Linked DNA regions of Mus musculus. The protein of the gene in region 1 binds, or shares a complex with, the protein of each later gene. Links are inferred from orthologs where the notes say so. Each region holds a gene or a part of one and is shown in the gene's direction. Other genes may lie near its edges. The genes, in order: Sympk and Ssu72.

Evidence for each region.
Region 2: the proteins of Sympk (region 1) and Ssu72 are in contact, whole or in part, in a crystal structure (PDB 4H3K), measured with the Homo sapiens proteins. The link is inferred for Mus musculus from reciprocal best matches to the Homo sapiens genes SYMPK and SSU72. Residues at the interface, in NP_004810.2 of Homo sapiens: Val123, Lys127, Leu131, Gln135, Asp175, Asn176, Asp177, Gly178, Thr181, His182, Lys185, Glu188, Pro204, Arg205, Arg206, Gln207, Ser250, Ile251, Thr254, Thr255, Asn262, Ala290, Ser292, Gln293, Ser295, Ser296, Lys299, Asn300, Leu303, His304; in NP_054907.1 of Homo sapiens: Glu113, Tyr116, Asp117, Val120, Asn124, Glu127, Gln128, Glu129, Thr130, Cys131, Gln132, Pro133, His135, Asp167, Glu169, Asn170, Asp173, Gln177, Glu180, Thr186, Phe187, Leu188, His189, Thr190, Val191, Phe193.

What each region holds. Positions count from the first base shown.
Region 1 is NC_000073.6:19,027,364-19,031,172, forward strand, and holds part of Sympk (symplekin), read left to right. Parts: intron 1-533; exon of another isoform or gene 534-659; intron 660-1,500; 5' UTR 1,501-1,519; coding exon 1,520-1,624; intron 1,625-1,751; coding exon 1,752-1,817; intron 1,818-3,179; coding exon 3,180-3,233; intron 3,234-3,315; coding exon 3,316-3,389; intron 3,390-3,809. UniProt on the Homo sapiens protein: Scaffold protein that functions as a component of a multimolecular complex involved in histone mRNA 3'-end processing. Specific component of the tight junction (TJ) plaque, but might not be an exclusively junctional component. May have a house-keeping rule.
Region 2 is NC_000070.6:155,703,468-155,707,886, forward strand, and holds the start of Ssu72 (RNA polymerase II subunit A C-terminal domain phosphatase SSU72), read left to right. Parts: upstream 1-1,347; 5' UTR 1,348-1,914; coding exon 1,915-1,994; intron 1,995-4,419. UniProt on the Homo sapiens protein: Protein phosphatase that catalyzes the dephosphorylation of the C-terminal domain of RNA polymerase II. Plays a role in RNA processing and termination. Plays a role in pre-mRNA polyadenylation via its interaction with SYMPK.

The sequences.
Region 1 (3,809 bases):
AAAGAAGCCTTGTCTCGAAAAAACAAAAGAGCAAAAACAAAACAAAAAAGATAACAAAACCTTAGTTACCAGCAATATTGTCTTCTAGATTTTCAGTTGCCCCATTTATATTTAGGAGTAATCTAAGCTGGCTTTTTAAATTTAAGTTTTATGTTTATTTTGCATATATGGACTATTGCTTCTATTTATGTCTCTGCACCAAGTGTATGTGGAGGCCAGGGTCTCACATCCCCTAGGACTAGAGTTAGAGTTTTGAGCTGTCCTGTGGGTGCTGGGGATCAACAAACTCAGGTTCTCTGGAGGAGCAGCCAGTGGCTTTCACCAGCTGAGCTGACTCTCCAGCCTCAGTTCTATCTTTTAAAACACCTAGTTTAGCCTTTTTCTCTTCTTCACACTGTATCCAGCTCAGTGTAATCCTCCTGCCTCAGCCTTTCTTCATATAATAGATTCATTCATTTTCTCTCTCTAACTCTCTCTCTCTCTCTCTCTCTCTCTCTCTCTCTCTCTCTCTCTCTCTCTCATGCTCCTCGCAGAACCCCTGCATTGTCACTATAGACGTTTTCCATGTTCCTTTCTCTCCTCTCTGGAAACAGGGTCTTAGCTGCCCAGCTGGCTTAGACCTCACAATCTCCTGCCTCCCAAGTATGTTAAGACTACAGGTATGTGCACCTGTCTGGGTCTCAATTCCGTCTTACAGCTGTGCCATCTGTAGGCTTGTTTGTTTATCCCAGTGTCAGGCCTGGGCCCCTCAGGGCCTTGCACATGCTGTACAAAGCTCACAAAGAGTCCTTTAGCATGTAGCATGTGAGAGTCTTTGTAGCCTGTCTCCCTATTTAAGAACACTTAGTTGGATTATGCTGCTTGCTGGTAAAAGTAATGCCAGATGTGGTGCCTTGTCTATGAGTCATTTCATGATTTTGTCAGAATGATTTTGTGATAATTGTGTAGTTCCTCTTTCTCCCTTTTCACAGAAGGAATAGCTTAAGGATGCTGTATTGTAATGAGTCTCTCCTTCCTTCCTTCCTTCCTTCCTTCCTTCCTTCCTTCCTTCCTTCCTTTTTGAGACAGTATTATGTAGCACTGTCTAGTTTTGAACTCACTGTATAACTGAGGCTGGCCTTGAACTCCTGATGTTTCTACCTACCTGCATCTTGAAAATGTTGAGATGAAAGACATGTAGCACCACACCTGGTTATAGAGGTGGCCTTTTTTTTTGAGATGGGGGGGGAGGGGGGAGTCTTGACTATGCAGCCCTAGCTGGCCTGCAACCATGTGTGGCTGTGCACACCTTTCATTCCAGCTCTTGGAAGGCACAGAAGGACTAGGAGTTAATGGCCACCTTTGGCTACCTAGTCAGAGACCAACCCAACCCTGAATTAAAGGAAAAAACCCCATAGTAGACATGAAGCACTGTATCTCCTGTACATGGACATAAACCCCATACCCACCCTAGAGGAGGGACGAGGGCTTTGCAGGGAAACTCACTAGCTTCTTTTCCAGGGAGAACCTGACAGCAGTCATGGCAAGCAGCAGCGGGGACAGTGTCACCCGCCGGAGTGTGGCATCACAGTTTTTCACACAAGAAGAAGGGCCAAGCATCGATGGCATGACCACTTCTGAGAGGGTGAGTGTAGCACAGGGCTGGGAGTGGGGAAGTGTGACTCCTGCCAGACAGCAGAGCACAGGAGGACTGCAGGGATTGACCTGGCCAGCAAGACCAGCCATGACACCTGGTTCTTCTGTCCTTCCAGGTGGTAGATCTTCTGAACCAGGCTGCATTGATCACCAATGACTCCAAGATCACAGTGCTCAAACAGGTGAGGTGGGGGTAAGGGACAGGGAGGGCAGGACAAAAGCCAGGGCAGAGCCACTGAGGGAGGACCGTTAGTCCCTGCACGTGTGACTCATACATGCCTGTACACATACACTTGCACACCTGTGCTGCATTCATACATGCCTGTGCTCACATACACCTGTGCCATACATCATGCCTTGCACATGCACACCTGTACACAACCTGTGCCCCAGAGTGCAGTGCAGTGCAGTGCTGTGCAGCCTGCTCCTTCAGTGTTTCTCAAGATCCAGGACTGGGTAGAGCGCGAAGGCGCCACCTGGAGTTTCTGCATGGCACAGCAGACCTCAGACCTGTAGACCACTCTGACCTCTGGCAGACCTGTGCCTGTCATTGTTTCCTTTCCTCTTTGCAATGAGCACAGTGTGCCTCCCCGTGGCTTGTGAGAGCCTTCATCTGTGAGGGTCTCAACAGTGTAGCTTTGAGATTCAGGGTCAGGAGGGTCAGAGCCGCCAGTGCTGACTGCTCCCCATTCCTGCCTGCATAGACTACATCTGGATTTATTTCTATTTGAGGTTTGTTGTTTATTCTCTCTTTTTTATGTTTTGCCTACATGTGTGTAAGTGCACCATGTGCATACAACCCTGACAAAGGCCAGACAAGGGCATTGGATTCCCCTGGAACTGGAGTTATAGATGGTTGTAGCTGGGTGCTGGGAACCAAATCTACTCCTCTGGAAGAGCATCCAGTCTCTTAACTGTTGAGCTGTCTCCCCACTCCTGCATTTAAATTAACCAATTATTTTCGCTGTCTGGTGTGTATTCTTGTTCACATGGTATAGGTGCTTGGTTGCTTGGTATGAGATGTTTATGCAGTCTTGTAGAGGCCCAAAGCTGATGTGTTTTTCCGTCACTCTCTGGTCTCTCAGTAGAATCCAGCGCTTGCTGATCCATTAGTCTAGCTAGCCGGGTTCCTGGGAGTCTGTCTTTGCCTCCAAAGAGCTGCGGCTGCGGTAGTGCTCTGAGAGCTGAGCTCTGTCCTCATGCATGTGGAGGTAGTGTTTTACCCCGAGCCAGCTGTGGGCCTTATTCTTGTTTTCACTATTTCCTGTATATCTGGACAGGCACATTGAGCTCAGAGGACAACTTTACACCAAGTGGCTCCCAGAGATGCTATTCAGTTCTTCAAGTGGGAGTGGCAAGTGTCTTTTACCCTCTGAGCCATCTTGCTAGCCCTTATTTTTAGTGTTTTAGATAAAGTCCATAGTCTAGACGGCCTTGAGAACATGACAGTCCTGCCTCAGCCTGCCTTGTACTGGAATTATGAGAACCACCACGCCTGCCTTTGGGGCCTGGGTTTATGTCTGCTCCTCCTTTCTTCAACTCAGGTCCAAGAGCTGATCATCAACAAGGACCCCACCCTGCTTGACAACTTCCTGGATGTGAGTGACCAGCCTGGGGATAAGGTGAAGGGAAGGTGGTACTCTCCCGTGTGCCCTGACCCATCTTCCTCTGACATTACAGGAGATCATCGCTTTCCAAGCAGACAAATCCATTGAAGTGCGCAAGTTTGTCATTGGCTTCATTGAGGAGGCATGGTATGGGGCATCATTAGGGGTGCCTAGTTGTCATGGCTTGTGTCCTCCAGATTTCCCCAGCATACACCCAATGGAATTGCAGCCCTGAATGCGCCTCAGCCAATACTTCATAGGTGATTTGTTTGTTAGAAGGGACCAGTCTTCCTTCAGAATACAGACAGCAGCTCACGTTTCTCAGCCGCTGACTCCAAGGCTTCTCTCCACCGGGCTGACATGACATGGGTACTGGGAATTGAACTCAGAGTGTCTTCCAGAGCAGTATGCATTTTTTTTTTAAAGATTTATTTATTTATTATATGTAAGTATACTGTAGCTGTCTTCAGACACCCCAGAAGAGGGCGTCAGATCTTGTTACAGATGGTTGTGAGCCACCATGTGGTTGCTGGGATTTGAACTCCAGACCTTTGGAAGAGCAGTCGG
Region 2 (4,419 bases), on another chromosome or scaffold:
AACAAACCAAACAAAGAAAAAGCCCAGCACATAGGCCTCAACACCTGACTAAATAGAAACATAGTCCATAAGTCCCCAAGTAAAAACTTCCTCAATGTTCTAATCTTGCTTTTTGACTTCCACAGTTCTGCTTCTCGCTAACTGAAGCATGCCAATCAAGATGGTCTTTGTACATAAAGTCAAAGAGCTGCAAGGCTCAAGGTTACATGATTTGGGCAAGTTCTCTGTGCAGCTAGCAGGCAAAAATAAAGACTTTCCTTTTGGCTTTCAGAGTGTCCACGTGATGGTCTCTGTGGGCTTACTCGCAACAGGTTCTCAATACTCTCCTCCTCATTAACACAAGGAACAATGATGGCAGACTTCAATAGCAATGAGGAGGTTCATAGTGGGAAATTTAGTTTCAAAATAGGACTGGAGAGATGGCTCAGTAGTTAAGAGCACGGACTGCTTTCCCAAAGGTCCTGAGTTTAATTCCCAGCAACCAAATGGTGACTCACGATCATCTGTAATGGAATCCCATGCCGTCTTCTGGTGTGACTGAAGACAGCCATAGTGTACTCATATATATAAATAAACTTTAAAAGAAAAAAAGGTTGCATGGAGGCTAGAAGATTCTAGGCCTAGGCAAACAGGTAGAGGTAGTCTTTGAGACAATTACTATAAGCGAATAAAATATACTTTTATAAAGGAGGGAGAAGGGATGAAAAAGAAAAGAGGAAGATACAGGAATAATAGGAATAAAGGGTAGATTACTGAATCTACGGCTTTTTTTTTGAGACAGGGTTTCTCTGTGTAGCCCTGGCTGTCCTGGAACTCACTCTGTAGACCAGGCTGTCCTCGAACTCAGAAATTTGCCTGTCTCTGCCTCCCAAGTGCTGGGATTAAAGGCGTGCGCCACCACCGCCCGGCAAAACACAGCTTTTGTTATACTTACTACACATTATCTACCTTCTTGTCCCTGACAATCTCATACTGCTCCAACTTTAAAGGAGTTCTCAGAATCTCCAAACAACTTATCTAATCCCCTTCACTTCTTGACCATTCCATTCGAGCTAGAGGGGACAGGTCACCAGGCAGGTAGGCCGGCTGTAAGTCGACCTGATTACCGAGTTCTAGGATTAAAGAAAAGTGTGAGGCACCACGCCCAGCAGCAACTCTATTTCTCTCTCCCCCTCTCACTTGAGATCGAGCTCTCAATAGGCAACCTAAACTGGCTTCCAACAGAGAAGCGATTTTTCCTGCCAGTTTTCCGATTGGCCGAACTTGAAGAGCCCGCTACCTCACCCATATTTTTCATATCGTTTACATGTTAAGCTGCAACGGGCTCACAGAGGAAGTGACGTGCTTCTAGAAGTCCAGTGACTCTGAGGAAGGTACTCGTGATAGAGATAGGGCACAAACCAAGTGCTGGAGCCCAGTGCATCTATGAAATTGGCAGAGTGACCACCTGGAGGAAACCGGAATGAAAAACGTCCCAACCACACCAAGAGAAGCCGCGGAAAGGACTTGAGACTCCCCGGACCCGCCCCAACGCCCGTCCCACTGAAGTTTTCAGTATTGCGCAAGCGCCGCGCCTAGCGCGTCATCCGAGGCGACGGTACATTAGGACGCAGGCGCGGCTCACACCGCTCCAGTTGCCGGCGCAGGTCCTGTGACGTCACGCGCCGGCGAAGGTGGTCCACGACCGCCGGCCTCGGCTGCTCTCAGGCTGATTCGGCGTCGGCCGGTCGCCCTCCCGCGCCGGCTGCAGTACGAGCCCAGGAGAGCACCGTCGGCCTCCCCACGCGTTGCGTTGCGTTGCGTTGCGTTCACTTCCGTGTCGCAGATTTCCGGTTACCGCCATCTTCCTCGCGCGGAAGCCGGCTTCTAGGTGGGAGCTCCGTAGCGAGAGCAGTGGGTAGTTCGGTCGGTGCCATGCCGTCATCGCCGCTGCGGGTGGCGGTGGTGTGCTCGAGTAACCAGAATCGGAGCATGGAAGCACACAACATCCTCAGGTAGTGCAAGCTCCACCTGCCCTCCGCCCCTCCCTCCTCTTTCCCACAGATTCTTGTCCAGACCCCGACCCTGTACTGACTGGGCCGCGGAGGTCGGGCCACGCCCGGCTTCCACGCTCAGCGAGCCCTCAGTGGGGTCCGTGCGCGCGACACCCTCGGTAGTGTAGGCATCCCCGTAAACCCTAGAGGTGGCCACACGACAGCTGGGGCCCTCTGGGTGCTGGACGACCGGGCAGTATCACGGGGTAGGCCAAGGTCTTTCCGTGCTGCGAAGGGTGCCTGGTGTTTATCTTTCCCGTATATGTGTCGTCCGGCCACCTTGGAAAGCTCTCCACACGTCACATCAAGATGGAACGAGTCTGGAAGCAACAACAGTGATCTGAGGTGTTAACGTCAGGGACTGTTTATTGCTGTCTTCGTTTGCAAGTCTCATGCACCAGCCACCACCCCTCTCAGCCCCATAACTTTAGTCAGTAATTTCTGGAGCACACGAATTCATTTGGTTCAGTGGGACCTCCTCATATTTCTTCACGAATTCACCAGTTTCTAGTAGGGCATTCATCTTTGATAGTATTTTATCTTAAAAAAAAAAATCTCTTGACAAAATGAGAAACTGATGCATTGTATTACAGTTAAAATGGGGGTTTGTACATTTCAACTTAGTGCAGTAGAAATGTCTTTTTTCCCCCAGAGTTAACTGTTTGTGAACTTTTAAAACTTTTTTAAATATTATTTTTTGGCAATTTCGGGTTTTTTTTGTTTTTTTTTTAACCCTCAAAACAGGGTCTCTGTGTAGTTCTGGCTGTCCTGGAACTCACTCTGTATACCTGGTCGGTCTCAGACTCAGAGAATTGCCTGCCTCTGTCTCGCAGCTACTGCAATTAGAGGTGTGCTGCTGGTTTTGAACTCACTTTTCACCTGCCTCCCTTGTGTTGTTATTACTAATAGGAGTTTGCCACCATACCAAGCACTGTCTTGTGTTTTCTTAGTCACCCAGAGTGTTAGTTGCCTATTATCTCAAATTCTAAAGTTTCATTCTTTGTAATGCTTAGTACATAGACCAGTAGTTCTCAACCTTCCTAATGCTGCGACCATTTAATATAGTCCTCATTTTGCAGTGACCCCCCCCAACAATAAAATTATTTTTGTTGCTACTTTATAATGCAGTTCTGCTTTTATGAATTGTAGTGTAAATATAAGTATGTTTTTTGATGGTTTTAGGTGACCCCTGTGAAAAGGTGGTTTGAGCCTTAAAGCGGTTATTGACATAGGGCATAGCCTTTACTTAGTTTTGTTTGTTTTATAGATGGTGATGTGCTTTGAAATTAAGCAGTAGGCGCTACAATGTATAAAGCTAGCCTGGACTGTAAGACACCATCTCAAAAAAAAAAAAAAGTGGGGTCGATATCCTACTTCAGATTGTATCCTTGAACTAAAATTCATCTTGCCTCAGTGAGAGGATCACTAGGATATGATGCCATGCCCTGCCTTTGTGAGTTATCAATACACACATACACCTACAGGTCTAAAAAACACTCTATACCCTGCTCTTGTTGAGATACTGTGGACTTAATAGTTTTAGGTATTTTTACATTTGTACCTGGAGATAGAACTTTGGTTTGTGTTATCCTCAGTAATTCAATCTACCTACTTTTAGACAGGTTCTCTCCTGAGTCTTGGGACTCAAACTTAGGTTCCTGTGGCAAGCTCTGCCTCAATACTGACCCATCTTCCAGCATCCTTCCCCCACCCCACACCCTTTTTGGGCTCATCTCACACTGTAGCTCAGGCTCCCGTTGAACTTGTGTTTTGGCTTTACTGCCTCAGCTTCCCATGGTAGGGTTGTAAATGTAATACACAGTTCTCTGCTCTTTTTTCCTCTTTCATATTTACATGTTGAATTTAAATATACTAATTCATGTTTAATGAACAAATGTGAGGTTAATGAGTAGTCCAGGCTGACCTTAAACTCAAAGATCCATCTGCCTCTGCCTCCAAGCGCTGGGATCAGAGGTGTGCTCCACCACTGCCTATTGCCTTCTTGAAGTATACTTACTATTTTTCTGTTTTGGGGTTTAAAAAAAAGAAAGATTCTTTCTTGAGACTGAGAGGCAACGGGAAATGTATAAATATGCAGTACTCTGGAAAACACCCTTAAAAACTGTAAGAATGTGAAATATGCCTACCATTTGTTCAGTGATGCCATTTCCAGGAATTTATGCTAAAATAGTAACCAGAACCTGTGCAAAGACTTTTATACAGCACAAGGAAGTTGTCACTTAAGTTAGAATCTTCTGATTCTACTTGACTAAAGAAGAACAATGACAAAAATCAATGGCTGTAAAGAATCTCATCCTGGAACTCACTCTGTAGACCAGGCTGGCCTCGAACTCAGAAATCCGCCTGCCGCTGGGCGTGGTGGCAC